2 linked regions of the Rhinolophus ferrumequinum genome follow. The protein of the gene in region 1 interacts with the protein of each later gene in a pairwise test. Links are inferred from orthologs where the notes say so. Each region holds a gene or a part of one and is shown on either strand. Other genes may lie near its edges.

Evidence for each region.
Region 2: the proteins of ZHX1 (region 1) and ZMYND11 interact in a two-hybrid assay, tested with the Homo sapiens proteins (2 studies listed by BioGRID and IntAct). The link is inferred for Rhinolophus ferrumequinum from reciprocal best matches to the Homo sapiens genes ZHX1 and ZMYND11.

What each region holds. Positions count from the first base shown.
Region 1 is NC_046297.1:60,658,734-60,666,941, reverse strand, and holds the start of ZHX1 (zinc fingers and homeoboxes protein 1), read left to right. Parts: upstream 1-5,104; 5' UTR 5,105-5,257; exon of another isoform or gene 5,258-5,344; intron 5,345-5,368; exon of another isoform or gene 5,369-5,480; intron 5,481-8,208. UniProt on the Homo sapiens protein: Acts as a transcriptional repressor. Increases DNMT3B-mediated repressive transcriptional activity when DNMT3B is tethered to DNA. May link molecule between DNMT3B and other co-repressor proteins.
Region 2 is NW_022680364.1:419,526-427,601, forward strand, and holds the start of ZMYND11 (zinc finger MYND domain-containing protein 11), read left to right. Parts: upstream 1-5,003; 5' UTR 5,004-5,125; intron 5,126-5,477; exon of another isoform or gene 5,478-5,681; intron 5,682-5,747; exon of another isoform or gene 5,748-5,889; intron 5,890-6,147; exon of another isoform or gene 6,148-6,225; intron 6,226-8,076. UniProt on the Homo sapiens protein: Chromatin reader that specifically recognizes and binds histone H3.3 trimethylated at 'Lys-36' (H3.3K36me3) and regulates RNA polymerase II elongation. Does not bind other histone H3 subtypes (H3.1 or H3.2).

The sequences.
Region 1 (8,208 bases):
TGGCCAACTAGTTACAGCTGATGACCATCTACTACCTGAGCTACTACCCGAACCATTACCTTTCCATGTGAGGCCGAGAGCCTGGAAACTGCTCTCTGGGACTCTGTCCCCACAATGGGCCACTATTGAGCTGCGCCCTCCTTAAAAGAAAAAAAAAGTATAAAAGGAGAGTCACGGGAGGAGAGGATGGGCTGGACATGCAGGGACAAACAGTAGTTTTGGCTTCTTTAATTGAGCTAGCGTGAGTGGGTTTCTGTACCACAAGCAGAGAGCATTAACTGGAACATCATGAAATCAAGAGAGAAAATCAGGGCCAAAGTCCTACCCTGAGGGACCACCAAACAAAAGCAGCTTAATCTCTCTTCACACAGCTACATAAGACTTTCCAGCTGGAAAGACCCTAGAGGATAGCATCAGCATCATCTGAGAAATTAAGATAAACCAGACCCTTTGCATGAACTATCAACCCTTCAACATGGGGCACAACAATTGTAGTATTACCTTCATTTTACAAATGCGTAAAAACAGAGGCTTAGAAACCTGCCTTTAATTAAAGTTACTGTGGTAAATGAGTTACAAAAATGGCCATGACTGATTGCTCTTCCTGTATCTTCATCCTTTAAAGTGTGACTTTGCAGCTGCTCCCATCAAGGGGTGGAATCTGAGCTGGCCCCGCGACTTGCTTTGGTCACTACAATGTGGCAGAAATGGTAGTATGTCGGTTCTGAGGCTAGGCTGAAGCGGTCTTAAATGCTGCCTCTTGATTTCTTAGAACCCTGTGCATGTGAAGGAGTCCAGGCTATTCTGGCAGATGAGAACACAAGGCCCAGTCACCCCTGTGATCAATAGCCAGCCAACCACTGGAGGTGTGAGACCATCCTAGACGAGCCAGTCCTAGGTGATCCACTAACAGCCAACTGCCAGATATGTAAATGAGACCATCCTGGACCAGGCAGCCCCCAGACAACCCACCTGCTGAACGCAGGCGTGAGCGAGTCCAGCCAAGATCAGCCAAACCTGACCCAGATCAGCAGAACCACCTAGCCGACCCACAGGCTTACAAGCTAAATAATTGCTTAGACTTTGAAGCCAGTAAGTTTTGGTGGATTTGTTAGGCAGCAACAAATGTACATGCAGAGGATCTGGGACGTGAACAGAAGACCATCTGACTCCAACACCAGTGAGTGTTCTCAAATCCTGCGCACATGTGCCCTGGCTAATGCAATACTTTCCTTCTGAGAAGCAGCCTATGTAGCATCTTCATTTGATTTTAGGATTGGTCAGGGTGGGTTCAAAATCTTGCAGATTACTGAGCAACTGGGTAGGTTAACCACTTCAAACCTTGGTTTCCTCATTTTGTTAACTGTGGCTATCTCACACAGACACCAGGAAGGTAAAATGAGATAGTACGTCTAAAGTACCCAGAGATTCCTGGAAGATGGAAGTCTGCAATGGGTCCAAAAGTAGAATTTCTCTTTCAGTGTTTATGTCCAAGCAACTGACAGTTTTAGGAATGGCTCTCTCTCCTTAGAGATACTGACTTTTTATAGCTTGAAACCTTTAGTTCTACAAGAATGCATTACGTTGTCCCCCAATTATCAGCTTTTTTTCTAGATCAGTATTTCTCAGAGTCAATTCTACATAGATCACTTACATAACAGTCACCAGCTGTTTGTCAAATGCAGATTTCACCACCTCATCCCAGACGTCCTGAATTAGAGTCCTGGGAAGGAGCGGGGTCTGAGAATCTACATTTTAAACAAAATTCCCCAATAATTTCATGCACCTTTTAGTTTTAGAACTGCTGCTTAGACTCCTCTGCCAAGAATTTCAAACACAAGGAAGCATTGCATTTTCTTACTCTATTATTGCTTTCTAGTTGGGTGTTCCCCTAGGCTGTTTTGCATCCTAAGATTTTAGGTCAAAAAAGATACATTGGCACCTTTTTTTTGCAGACATAGTGTAGACATAGCCACCAACTTTTTGGTGGAAATAGAGTACACAACAGTGAATGAAACAACCCAGATGATACTCTGATGTTTAAAAAAGTATATCAACATGTTACTCCTTGAATAAATACTGAGAAAACAGTTTTTCCTGTTCCTATAGTCCTAGATGTGGTCTTATGCTAGATACAGGAAAAAAGGAGTGGAGTGGGGAGGGCATTTACCAACAATATTAACTTGTTTTTACTGTTATTATCAATAACATTATTGTTTTCACAAAGCTAGCATTAAGAGGAATAGGCAATGACCTTAAATTGACTTTGAAGTTTGTTCAGTCTGAGCTAGCTTTAACAGGAACATTTTTGTTCACCTTCTGAAGTAGCCATTAGAATTGTGGGAGTGTTTCACTAGTGCTAAATTGTCAAGTTCACTGAACTATATAGTTAAAAGTTTAAAGGGTTTTAGTCTGATGTCCTTTCAGCTGATCTGTTTCATGGTATCATGTTTTTTAGAATACTTTTTCACTAAGAGTAGAAAAGGGGGGAAAATAACAAGGAAACTACTACAAAAAAATGCTGTTGGAAGCCTATTCCTCTTCAGATTGCACCAGTGCTTACAACTTTTGATTCAAAACTCTTCATTTCCTACAAATACTTTTTTTCACTATTCCAAAGGTGGAAGAGGCTCTGAATAGCAAAAGTGCTGTGTTTTTTGAAAACTGCTGGACAACTTCTCATCTCTAACAGTACTGAAATTTTGCCATACCAATCTGTGTATGACAAACTGTAAAACATATGCATAAAAAAATCTAGACTCTTCTAATTGTGCCAATCCGTGGTTAAAAACTTACTTCTGGAGCCACACAGCTGTTGAAATCAGTCATATTTACAATTTTTACAAATGAGTTTATTTTAATAAAAACAAGTTACTCTGTGAGCATGGTCTCTAAACAGATTTATGTGGGCTGGCACAATCTGCTATGCTAAACATATATTCATATTGCTTAGGTCTGCAACCAGTTTTTATGTGTGGTAACAGTCTTGCTTTGTACAAGGATACCAAATAATTGGCAGCAATTCAGCTAAGGACACTGTTCTCAGCACTGTGCTGTTAAAATTGTTTTCCTGGACAGAATTGCCCTGTGGGCATGGCCCTAAATTAGGAGGACTGTAGGCTGCTGGCATTGGGCAGTGAATCAGGCAGACAGCTTATAGAGAGAAGGAGGTGACTATATAAACTGGTGCTAAAGAAGAAAAAGGAGGGGGAAAAAAGGAAGGAAGAAAAAAAGCAAGGGAAGGAGAAAGGAAGGAAGAGGGAGAGGGAGGGAGAGGGAAGGACGATGAGGGGGAGAGAGGGAAGGGAGAGAGAGAGAGATGTGATTTATATTCATCACTCCATACCCTTAAAGTGGTCTCTTTATGTACCTCTCCTTGATCTCACCTTAAACCTTACTTGATGTTTTTATGTTCATGTTTTTTGCTTGGTTGCTAGACTGTAATCTCCTTGAAGACAGAACTATTGCCTGACTCAGCTTTGCATCTCCTCCATTGCCTGGCATACGTTGGGGCTCAGAAAACCTTGTTAAATGCATGAACAAAAGATTGAATTTCTGTATCTGAAGCATTTCCTTTCCTCAGAGATAAGTACTAGAGAAGGCCTCAGGGGGCACAGTACTGCCCCCTAGGGGGCGTATTGAAACTTTGTGGGGGCAGTTTGTGTCCTGTAGTTCTCATATTGGTGCGGAGTATTTATTTACATAGTGAAAAACATTTTATAATTTTTGTTGATATTAGTATAGCATTTTGGAGTATAGTATAAACTTTCTCTTTTTTCACCTTTATGTTATTAGAATATTGGTTTCTTGAAATTATTTGCGTAGTTTACATTAGCTATGAATTTAATTCCAAGAGAGTAAAATGATGTTAGATTTTTGTTGTAAATATAGGGTGTTGAGTATGGCAGAACTGAGAACCTCTGTTTATGAAATCATTATGCTTTGCTTGCTTCTGCTTCCACCTAGTATTCTGAGATGAAACATACAAATGAAAAGAAGCTGTGCATTGATTTCAACAATCAGGCTTTCACTTTAATCAACTGCGTATTTTAGGATTGATGCAGTTCAGTGGAGCACTACAAAGCACAGAGGGTCCATGACTGGAGTAGGGGTGGGGGATGAACCTCAAGTCACCCGAGTTCTCACGTCCGGGTCCGTGAATCTGTGCAGAGTAGCTTGAAGGATGAGTCGTTTCTCTTTGCTTTGGTTTATACTTTTCTTCATTTTAAAAATGATGTGGGAGTTGAGGGAAGGGGAGGTGGGGAGGGACGATGATGACGTCCAGTTTTCCCCAAAGCCTAGGCCCTCAGATGGCCCCCTCTGCGGGGCTGGTTCACACTGAAGCTGTCTGGATTTGAGGACCACAGCTTGCAAAGAAAGCCCTCCTGAATAGTGACTCATGAGCGGGGAAAGGTGGGCTTTCGGGGAGCAGAGGGAACAGAGGGTGGGACCGTTTTGCACAGCGGTTCGAAGTGAGGTTGAACGGAACTTTTGGTGTCAGCGGGCAGAGCTGCCACTAGTGGTGGAGTAGGGACACTAGAGGCAAGAGGCGGGGTGACGGTTGACAGGTCGTGAGGTTTGGGGCTAGAATCGAGACGGGCCTCAGGAAGGCGGGGCTTCTATTGACAGAGGGCGGGGCTTCCGTTGAAACAGGGCGGGGTTTGGACAGAACTGCCACCTGGAAATGGGGCTTACGATGAGAAGGGGCATTTCTCAAGACCCGGCGGTGACAATAAGAAGGCGGAGCGCTCAATGGGCGGGGCCACAGTGACAGAAGGCGGAGCTGCCTTCAGGATAGACCTGAGTGAAGACTAGGCTTCTGTTGGTAGAGGGCGGAGCTATCGCCCGCAAGGGGCGGGACCGCTCTGAGACTTGGAGAAGGCGGGGCTTCGGTTGATGGGGGCGGGGCCTCCGTAAACAGAGGCGGGGCTTCTGTTGACAGCGGGGCGGGGCAGCTCCTTACCTCCCGCGGTGCGCCAATTCAGGGGGTAGAGGCCGCGGTCGAACCCCACCGCAGCAGCAGGGTCCGGGAGTGAAGAACCCGGCGCGCAGCGGGGTGGGGGCGCGCAGAGGGCGCGCGCGCGGGCGGGCCCCGCCTCGGCCGGCACTTCTAGCTCCACACCCGCAGCCGGCCGCTGGGGCGCGCGCCTCGCCTCGCCCCCCACCCCCGACCCCCGACCCTCCGGTTCCACGGGGCCCGCTGAGCTCGGAGGCCGTGTGCTGGCCCGCCGAGCGGTTCCGGGTGTAAGGTTCACAGGTCAGAGTTGACTCCCTGAAAAGTGCAGCCGCTTTGAAATGCAAGATGGCGGCGGCGGGGCGCTGAGAGGCGCGGCGGCCCCTGCAGGTAGCCGGCTCGGCGACGAGTCGGCCGGGGTTCACCGGGGCTGCGGGTGGGAACCGGAAGCTCAGAGCCCTCGGCCGGCACGGCGGCCGGGGAAAGCGAGTGGCGCGCGGACCGGATGGAGGAGGGCGGCCCCAGGGTAGAGACCCCGGGGGGACTGAGCGTGCTCCGGGCTGCGCGTGGCGGGGCGGACCCGGCGCTGGGCGTCCGAAGGGGAGGGACCGGGCCTGCCTGGGCCGGGCATCGCCACCGGCCGCAGACCCTGAGCTTCCTTCGCATATGCGGGGTCTCTGCGGCCGGGGAAGGAGCTGGGGAGTGGGCTCTGTAAGGGAAAATCTCAGCCTCCCCCAGCCTACGAGAGGGCTGAGCAACTTGGGATTGCTGAGGAGTGTGAAGACTGGGTCTCCCGGGGGGAGGACGCCGCAGGGATGGAGGACCCCAGTAATGTTTAGGGTCCTAAGGGAGATCGGGAGCCCTGCACTGCTGGGGGGCGTGTGGCCTGGTGAGGACTCAGTCTCCCTGAAAGTAAGGAGAGATTCTCTTGCTGGAGCTGAGCGCACTGGCATTTGGGTTGGAGCCCTGGGAAACAATTCGGGGAAAGCTGTACCCGACTCTGGGGCCAGACCGTGCCCCCGCTTTGGGGCAAGACTCAGAGTTGAGTCCTTAAGAACTGTATTGCGTTTTAAGGAAGCCCTGGGACTTAGGGTGAAGTTAATTACAGAGAATGGAATTGTTACCGGTCCCTTTCAGGAGGGAAACAAGGAGGCTGACCAAGGACTGCTCCAAGCTTAGGGCCTAAAGGAAACAATCGCCTCATCCTTGCGGGGAATGAAGGGCTGGGAAGGAGATAGGAGAGGAAACTGGTTTAATGGCAGGAAAGAAGAGCCCCGAGGGATGCCCTGTCCCCGTGTATTTCCACCAAAGTTCTTGGTACAAGAGACTTGAAATTCTTTGTTTCATGCGTGTCCCCCCCCTCTCCCCTCTTTGGCTAACGGTAAGGAAAAAGCAAAACCCCAGAGAAAGAACGGGTACCCCTTAATATCCTTAGCTTAGGTTAGTGAAGGATGAAGCTCTGGCAAGGATTCCATGCGAGACTCGGGTAGGAGTATTAGGAAGCGGGAAAGGGGATGGATAGAGGAGGGATATAGGGAAGAGATTGGTCAGAGCGGGAATTCACAGAGGTGCCCTCTCATCTCTCGCCCCAGCTCTAAAGAAAAACAAGAGAAGAGGCTAATCTTGGCGGGGTGGGGTGGGGTGGGGGGCGATGATGTAAGCAAAGGCTCATTGATCGAGAAATCGTAATGTGATTAGGTTGGGATTCCATGTAACTTGAAAGGAAGAAGCAGTTCCCTTGGAGGTGAAGAGGATAGCAGCAGAAAAGGGAAAATCACAGGACTGGGAAATAGAATGGTTCACAGTTAGGGAGGAAGAAGCAGCTTTCCCCCAGGAATGGTGACTGCTTGGAGTGTATGTGTGTAGGTACCTACACAAATGCACGTTTAGATTTGTTGGTATTGGTCATTGCTTCTCAGTCTTTGTCTGAAAGCTTTAAATTAACTTGTGTTATGTGGTGCTACGTGAATGATCTTAGCTTTTGACAAATTATCCTGCAGACGTTTGTTTTTATGCCAACAGTGAGGATGAACAGAAGTTGGTTCTAACAGGGATATTGGCCTTAGTATATCCATAGATTTTTTGAAATTTCTCAAGTAGCAGTTTGGACTCTTGATTATAAGCAAAAGCAATGTTGAGTTCTGCCAAAGACAATAATGCGGTAACAGGATGTATAAAAGAGAAAGGGCTGTCATGAATATTTTTCCTCTCACTTTTTCTCTGCTTACTCTAAGCATTTTAGGGCTAAGCTGACTAATTTTATGCAAGATAAAATGTAAATTCTTGGATCCTTTCAACACAGAAGTGATAGCATTTCATGTATCAATGAATCTTTTTGTAAAAGAACCTCTTCAAATGCTTTATTTAATAATCAGGATGAAAATGAGAAAAAAAGAATTAAGACTTGGGTAACTGATGACAGCTATGATTCATGCAGATTTCTTGAACCATTCTACTATTTTTAAGAGCGCTTTAACATCTTCAATGGAAATTTTTTTAAAAACACATTTCAAGTATAAACTAGTTTCGAGCTGCACATTTGGAACATTATTTTACATGTGTGCTGTTCTTTGGTTTCCCCAAAGTGCATGTAGCTTTAGTTTTATATTCAATTCTGAACAGATTAGGCTGGGTGATCCAGAGTGGTATTGATGCCAGATGGTTTGAAAATATGCTAAGGCTGAAAACATAAATGTGCCTGTGCTGGGAACACTCATTAGTAGGTGTCTTTCCCTTATAGCAAGTTGATTATTTCCTTGAATTTGGAGGACAGCTCATGAATGATGTAGCAATTATTTTTTACCTTTAATGATACTCATATTTCAATAAATGCGAATTAAGTTTTATAATTATTTTATTAATGAACTTAATAGAATAGGTGAGGTAGTTTATTTTGGAAATTTTCTCCCCTTTTGTATTATATTTCACATTAAGACTGAAAGTTGATGTTATGATGTATTATACATTTTCTTTCTTGTAATGTTAGTTGGGCACAATAATGTGATATTTGGGACTAGTTTGCTTTAAATTATAGCTTTGTACTTAAACGGAAGTACTCTTAAAGTTGTTAAAATGATTACAAATGTAGCAGAGGAAATAATCTTTTTATGTACATTGTGGCATTGTGGATTTGTGCTCAAAAGACTTTACTTATTTGAATATTAACAGTGTTGAAAGCTCAGTGCCTAAGCTGGTTTCCAATCATACATCATTTCAATACATTCAGGGAAGTGTTTGGAAATATCTATTGCACT
Region 2 (8,076 bases), on another chromosome or scaffold:
ATCTATAAATTCAATTACTTTCTCTTTCAGCAACTGTCCTTTAAAGAAAATACAATTAGTAATAAAAACCCCAAAGTGTGCTAACTTTCACTTTTTCTTTTACTTTCTTTGCCCATTCTGGGGGAGTTTTCAAACTAGGGATAAGAAAAAGAGAAATTAATGCAAATAAGAAAGGACAAGCCCCATGAATGGCAGGCACTGTGTGAAAGGTGACACCGGGCTCAGCTAGAAGAGGGAGGTGGAGAAAGCCTGGAAAGGCAGGGCTGGGTGAGGGGTAGAAACAGAGACACGCAGCTGTCAAGGAAGCAGAACTTTCTGTGTCTGACGTTCTCAGCGCGGTTAAATAAAAAGAGAAAAGGAAGTTGTGTTGTCTGCAGCTTTTCTCCGACTTTATCTAAATATTGCATGTGAGCAAAAGAGACCATCAAGCGATAGGTGCAGAGATAACGACAGAATCATTCAGGAAATACTTTCGGACTGTAATAATTTTTAAGAAAGTGTAATTTAGCACTACAATTATTTGCTTTTAATTTTAATGCTCCCCTAGATTTTTAGTACCTACCCATTTCACCCAAGAAATCTAAAATGTTTTACATAATTTTCTTCAGCTGTTTGATGGACTTATCACCAGGTATTTCCTCAACATACCAGGGAGAGGGTTAGAATACAACAGGACATTTTATGTTTCACTATTAGAAGATAATTTTTTCATGAACTATTTATTTAAAATTGTTACTTATCACCTAAGACTTTTGAAAATTTCTCTCAACACTGTTGGTATAACAAACCTGAAACCTCCATAAACATAATGTCACTTTTAATTTTATGTCAATTATGCAAATCTGAAAAAAATCTTCTCTAAATATTAGAAAATGGAGGATCTTTCAGAACAAGATACAGTTCCAAAGTCACTGATGGGAAACTAATGTTTCCTTAAACATGGATTTGTGTGGGGAGGAGCATAAATACCCAATCACAACTATCATGAAGGAAGAGAATAAAAAGGGAAATCTTAAATACTATACTCCACAGGACTGGGTGTTAAAGAAGCTCAGAATGTTTCTCACATGTTTTCCTTTGTTAGCACAAATAGTGGTAATGAGAGAAAAGAATTTCTGCCTAACGTGGCCCTGAGGGCCATGTGCTCAGATGCACTGTCACCATCACTGCGAGTAAACCTGGATGAGAACGGGGAAGCCAGTGTCTCCTGTCTAATATAAACTCACTACTGAAATCCTGCATCGGCTTGTCCTGTGTGTAGATTGTGAAAAAACTTTGTCCTCTCTAAATAGTGACAAGATGTTGAAAGGGTATCCCCGAGGAGAAACTGGAGGATGTATATAAAAATGTAAATGTATCTTCTGGTGTTTTATATGTTTAAAGGGAGAAGAGGGAGAAAGGACTCTACCTGGAGCCAACCAGTCTGATGACCTCTGCAGAGGCCAGGAGTCATTTAAGCCCAAACAAAACAACTACCAGAAGGGGGGAAAGAAAGAAGTGAAACCAGGGGTGAAGACAAATAAGGACGTGTGAACCAGGAAGGATACCTGATAAAGAGCTTGTGTAAAACAGCTTAGAATAGGCACAGACAACGGGATTCCATGGACAGGTGTGAGAACAGCCCTGGAGGTTGTGGCATCTTAAAGCACACTTAGTAAAGCTCCCTCACTTTACAAAGGAGAAGGCAGATGCCTGGAAAGGCTGCCATTGCCAAAGTTACAGAACTAGTTGGAAGCAGTGTTTGGGAAAGTGGCTGTTGGGTCCACCCGGGCTGATACTTGCATTTCTTCTTTTCCAAGGTATGGCAATTAGGCCGCATCTGTCCTGGGGCTTGGCTGGATGGAACTGAAAGTGTGAGGAAGCTACCTGGGGGGATGGGGACATGGGCTGTGATTGACAGGTCTGCTTTTATTATCCTGTGTGTCAGGCTCCAGGTTGTGACACATTTTATAATCTGTAGCTCACTTAATACCTTGTTTATCCTGTAAAGTGGGTATTATTGTCCCCATTTTACAGATGACAATAATAACAGGAGCTATTAATTATTGAGCAGTTGTTCCAACCAGGCACTATTATAGGAATTACACATTTTCTCAGTTAATCTTCTCCATGATTCTATGAAATATGATAATGATATCTTTCCTAATTTAAAGATGAAGAAAATGAAACACAAATTGGTAAATAACTTGTCCAAGGTCAACAGCTAGAGAATGTTGGAGTCAGGATTCTAATCCAAACAATCTGGTGTCAAAAATCCATGCTCCTGACAAATGGGGAAGTTGAGGTTCAAAAAGTGAAACCATTTCCTCGATGTCTTCCGGCATTGTAGCTTGAACTTGAACTCAAGCATTCTACACCAAAGTTTGTCTCTTTCTATGTGGTGTTGGAGAAGAGACAGGGCAAAAGCTAGGTCCCAGCTTAGGAGGGAAAAGATGCACAGGTGCACAAACACCCTTTTCATGTTCTATGCGAGCTGCTTCCCTTGAAATGTCCAGAAGCATGCTAGCTGGGCTGTGGTCGGTCCCTCTGTAGTAGCTACTGTACATTCACAGGCAGAAGCAGGAGACGTGCAGCACGAGCCTGACCGGAGCTGAAGAAACGCCTGGACCTGCGCCGGGGACCAGGCCTGATGGCTGGGAACCATGGAGTCGTGCAGGCAGCGGGGGACTGCACTTTCCATACAAATAGAGCTCCTGTCTTACTTACACCAGAAAGTTTTTTAAATTAAAATACGCATAGTGCCTGCTTCAGACTTAGCCACCAAGAATCGCAACGTTGGTAAATGGTAATTGCCATGACAAGGTTGGGTCCAAAACTTTTTGGTTTCAAAAACATGATTTTTAATCATCCAAGGTGATTAGGCACTTGGAAACTAAGCAACACTAGCTAAACTCATATATAGCAATTTAATACCAAAATATTAATTTACCTTTAGAGAAGATAGGGAAAAACTATATTCACATCTAAAATACTACCTATTACAAAAGACTATGAAATCAGCCAATCAGAAGTTAGAAACACACAGAATAAAATCAAAGGAAGTTTGTAAAATCAAAGAACAGCTACAAAACATTTTATTGACCCCTAAGGCATTGTCACTCTGCACTCTGTAGTGGCCAGCTCCGTGGCCATTCACTTCAGCCTCTATCTTGTATTAAATAATGGTTCTTCTCCACTCTGGGGGGAGGGGCTGTTGCATGTTTCATAGCAGGCCACACGTTCCTGTGGTTGTGACTTTTAGTTCCCTCCCTGCATCAGGAAACACCTCTAAAGGTAAATGAGTGAAGAAAATACCATGACAGGGATAGCCTTGCACACTCGCATGCACTCATTTGCAACAGTGCACACTCATTACTAGTAACTGATTGCTTGTGGTCATATCTTACATTGCAAAACTATGTGTTTTATAGTACTGCACATAGACGAATCTTTACTTCTTAAGTCTCCTTTTTCTGGATTGGCAGGTTCCAGGAGATACCGCAGGCACTCGGTCTGAGGGACAGTCCTGTCTGCTCTGTTTTCTAGGATGAGGATCCAGATAAGATCTCATTGCCTTGTCATTGTGATAAGATAGTGAGTGTAAGGTAATAGTTACTTAAACCCACTTTATGTGATTTAAAATAGTTAATCTCATTGATAAGTAACACATTTATAAACCTTTTCTTGTGGTGAGCTGCTTCTGACAATTACCCACATACATTTTACATTTATTTTTATTACGTTCAATTGCCTGATATTTATATTTTTTCGTTTTTTTAATATACATTTTGGGATGTGAACTATGTGTAGATTGCAGCTACAAATCGCTCTATGCAGTAACTAAAGAAATCAATGGAAAATAAGATTCTATACAACTGAAGTTTATAATTTGTTTTTTGAAAAGTGTATATTCTTTCAAGTAAGGGATATCTACGTGGTGTGGTTCCCATGGGAGCAACCAATGTCTTGGGCTAGTTATTAATTTTTTTCCTGATTATGAACAAAGATTTTTTTTTTAAAATGTTACCTGTAACCCAAAGAAATATGCATTGTTAACACTTTCTTCTGCATTATTTCCTTCTAATAGTTAAAGAATGGAGATCATATGTACAAGGTGTGATCAAAAAGCATGGTGAATGTTTAAATTTAAAAAATTATAAGAGTAAAAGACACATTGCCACTAACCCCCCTCAAAAATACTCCCCCTCGCTTTGAACACGCTTAGAAGAATTAGTGTTGTATGGGTGTCCTTCTTTAGGTGGTGTTAAGTCTCCGAAACATTTCCGAGTTGATGACACACTATTCCTTGTGGCCCACTATTCTTTCTTTTTCTCCTCTGCTCCTTTGTCGCCTCTTTGCAATCCGGCAGATAAATTCGTGGTGTAACATAAGTTGTATGGAAATAACTATTTAGTCTTTGGGCCTCCCCCCAACTCCCAGCCCCAAACCACTGGTCCCCACTATTTCCCCCACCCCTACCCCATCTTCCCTCAGCTGAGAGAAAAACGAGGTCAATAAAACTGTTGTAAGGGAAAATAGAGCCAAGATTTTAAGTTCTAGGCAAAATCGATAGGAAACCTGGGGATAACCTATCTAACTTACATTAGTTAGAATGAGAGAGAGTATCTGGGTATAAAAACTGAAATTATGCCTAAAACATTTAATTGGAGAAAAATGTGGTGTCAGTCATACAGTCACTTGTTTCCTAAGGTGAGCTTCCTTTTATACATATTAATATATAATGTTGTCTACTTTATAGATGATTTTTTTTTTAAACCGTCATTTACTTAAAGCTGTTAATTCCTTGCTCCAGCATTTGAACCGGGTATAGCTTGCTTTCTTTGACACCCTTTAATCTCTCTGCTGGATTTAAACGGCATATATTTATGTGTAAAAATAAAATGAGTTGAAGTTATTTGGGGATGTCCCTTGAGAGAACCAAGAACTCTGTGGGGTGTATCAGAACCAGGGCTGTGAATGGCTGAAAGGTTGTTTCTTTGACCTGTTCAAGTACCGCCCATTTCTAAATCCTAACCCAGTCTAGAGGCCAGCTAAGAAAGATTGACGACTTGGATCAGAATCGCAACACTTCTTGGACCGTCTCTTCCCAATGATTTTCAGATCCATATGTGCAATGGGACGCAGAGTAAGAAATTTTGGCCGAAAGGTCTTCCTTCCAAATTCCTAGTGCAGAAAGTCATGAGGGAAAACTTGCGGCGTCTGCAGAAGCACGCCGACCTCAGGGACTTCCTTAACCGACACAGCGGGGTCCTCTCTGGTTAGACCTAGAACGAGCAGTCTCTTCCTCCTTGCACGAACTTGCAGAGTTTCTGCCTAGTTGAAAATGGGCGGCCCTGTCCTTTTGGAGGTCCTATGTGTGTGTGTGTGTGTGTGTGTGCGTGTGTGTGTACAGAATACGGAATCAGACAGCCCTGCAATTCCTTCTGAGGGCAGAATTAAAACGCTATCAAAGCCACGTCCCCAATTTTGCTAACGGGAGCATCCGCTCTCCTCCAAGGCCGGAGCTGCCCCGGCGGCGGGAGGCGGCGGCCCGCAGCGCGGCCGCGCGGAACAATGCGGGCCGGGACTTTGTGCGCCCGTCCGCGCCCGCGCGCCGGCACGTACGTCGCCTCCACGTGTGCGGCCGCGAGGTGCATGTGCGGCTCCGGGAGAATATGCTGGAACCGCAGGACGAAGGGAAGGTGGGTGTGGGCGCGCACGACGCCGGCCTTCGGGAGGGAGCCGCGCCTCGAGAGCGCACGGCGCGGCCGGCCGCACAATAAAGTCCGGGGGCGGGCGCCGCGGAGGAGGCCGCTTGGGAGCCGCGCGGGCCTAGCAGGACGCCGACTGCCCTGCGGCCGCACCGGCTTCCCGCCCGGCCCCCGGCCCGCCGCTCGGCGTGGAGACCCCGTAAGTGCGGGCGGCGGCGGGCCCCTTCCCGGCACCGCCGCCCGCGGCCCTGCACCGCCGCCCCTTCCCTCCCGGCGCCCGCGCGGCGGTGCTGCGGCTGTAAACATGGCGCCCCGAAGCGCGCGCCGGGGAGACGCCGGGGCGCGGGCGGCGGGGGCGGCGGGCTGCTGGGCGACGCCGGGGAGGGGGCCGGGGAGGGAGGGGCCCGGGCCGCGGAGCCGGGGAGGAGGGCGGCGGGGCGAGCGGGAGGCCGGGCTCGCGGAGACGCCGGGGCGGCAGGCGGAGGCCGGCGCCCAGGCCCGGGGGAGGCGGCGCGGCGCGGCCCGGAGCAGAACGGTGGGAAGGGCGCGGGGCCGGGCGGGGCGCGGGGCCGTGTGGAGCACGGCTGGCTGAAGCCTCTCGGGGCGCCGATCGGGTGTGACCGTCGCTCGCCGTCTCTGCCCGCGGAGCTTTGTGTGCGGCGGGCCGGGCCTGGGGGGTCCCGCCCGCGCTCCCCTGTCTTCGGCGGGCCCGGAGGGGGAGGAGGCCCAGAGCGAGACCGCGCGAGGCCTGCTGGGGCTGGGAAGCCGGGGTGTCGCGTGAGCGCCGCCCGCCAGGCTGGCCTTCCCCGCGCGGCCAGGCCTCGGGGCCGGCTCGGACGCTGCTCTGTGTGCGGAGGGCGCGTTCGCTGTAGCAGCTCGTTGTTCGGCAGCGATAGTCGAGGCTGGGCAGGCGGCCCCCAAGGACCCACGCGGGGCTCGGTCCGCGTTCCCCAGGGCTGGGAGCCCGCGACGGCGCGGCCTCCGCCGCCTCAGCAGGCCCTCCGGCCCCTGGGACTGCCCGTGCGGTCCGCAAAGGAGCTGCCAGGCCCTGGCTCTTGGGGTGGCCCTGGGACCCCAGCTTCCACGTGCACCGACCCTCGCGCTGCTCGCCTGGGCCGGCTCTGGACGCTTTACGGTGTGGGCCTGGTGCCGGGCCTGTCCATGGTCCGGTGTGTACGTGGCGCTGCCCGGGTTGTGTACGGTGTTTCCACTGTGCCCGGCATCGTGGCGTGGGCACGGAACTCGGTGTACCTGCTGCTGTATACGGTGTGCTCATGATACCGGTGTGTCCACGGTGCCCCGTTATACGTGGTGTGGGCATGGTGCCCGATGTGCACGTGGTACCTGTGTTACGTACAGTGTGTGGCCGTGCCGGCAGTCCACGGGGCCGGTGTTATGTAGTGTCTGAATGGTACCTGGTGTGGGCACGTGATACCCAGTGTTACATGCAGTGTGTCCGCGGGTGTCCGGTCCTTGCACGTCTGAGGTGTCTGAGCTCAAAGCAGGTGGCCAGGTAGCCTTTTCAGGATGGGTGTCTGAAGGTTGCATGGGTCCATCCGATTCTGAGGTTAGGTCCTGGGTCCTCCCGTCTACCTCACCCAGGTGTTTTGCATCCTACTGTGGGCCTTGTCCATGGAGGCAAGAGCCTGCTGAAGCATCATCTGTCCGTCAATCTGCCCGTAGAAAGGCAGAAAGTAAAACGTTTACTTACTTTACTTTTAAACTGAGAAATGTAGTTGAAGTGTATGTAGTAATTGTGGGATGCATAACCATTTCAGGATTTTGGGTCACTGATTCTAATTAATGGTTGAAGTTATCAGGCAGATAGCGTTGGTTATACTTGAAAAGTTGGAGTGCTTTTTGGTTAGCAAGGTCACCTTTGATTTTTCTGAATTCTAATTTGTTCAAGCGGGAGATGAAATACGAATTTTGTACAGGCATGTTATTTTCCTTGTCGTTGGTTAATTCGTGCTGGTTACAGTCATTATTTTGGTGGACTCTTCTTTATAAGATGGCCAGGCTGGAAAATCAAAGATTAGAAGATACAGAATGTGTTTATGACATAGTAAAATATTTTTCTTGCTTAGCTCTGCCTGTGGTTAACAGGATTTCTTTTTTACATCGTATTTTTTTTTAACACATGTGTTTCATATGACTGCTGAATCTCCCTTTTGCATTCTGTAATTGGGTGATTTAATTTTTGCACTTACCTTTTACAAAGTGTTTAAATAAACATGCAAGTGCTTCCAGCTTTACAAAGAAAAAATCACAATGTTAAAATTTAGCTCCTTTGTTCCTATTGAATATTTCTCAGATATCATTGTGTTGCTACTTTGAGTGAATGTCATCTTGCATGTTTCTGTGAATTGACGTGTGTTTATGTGAA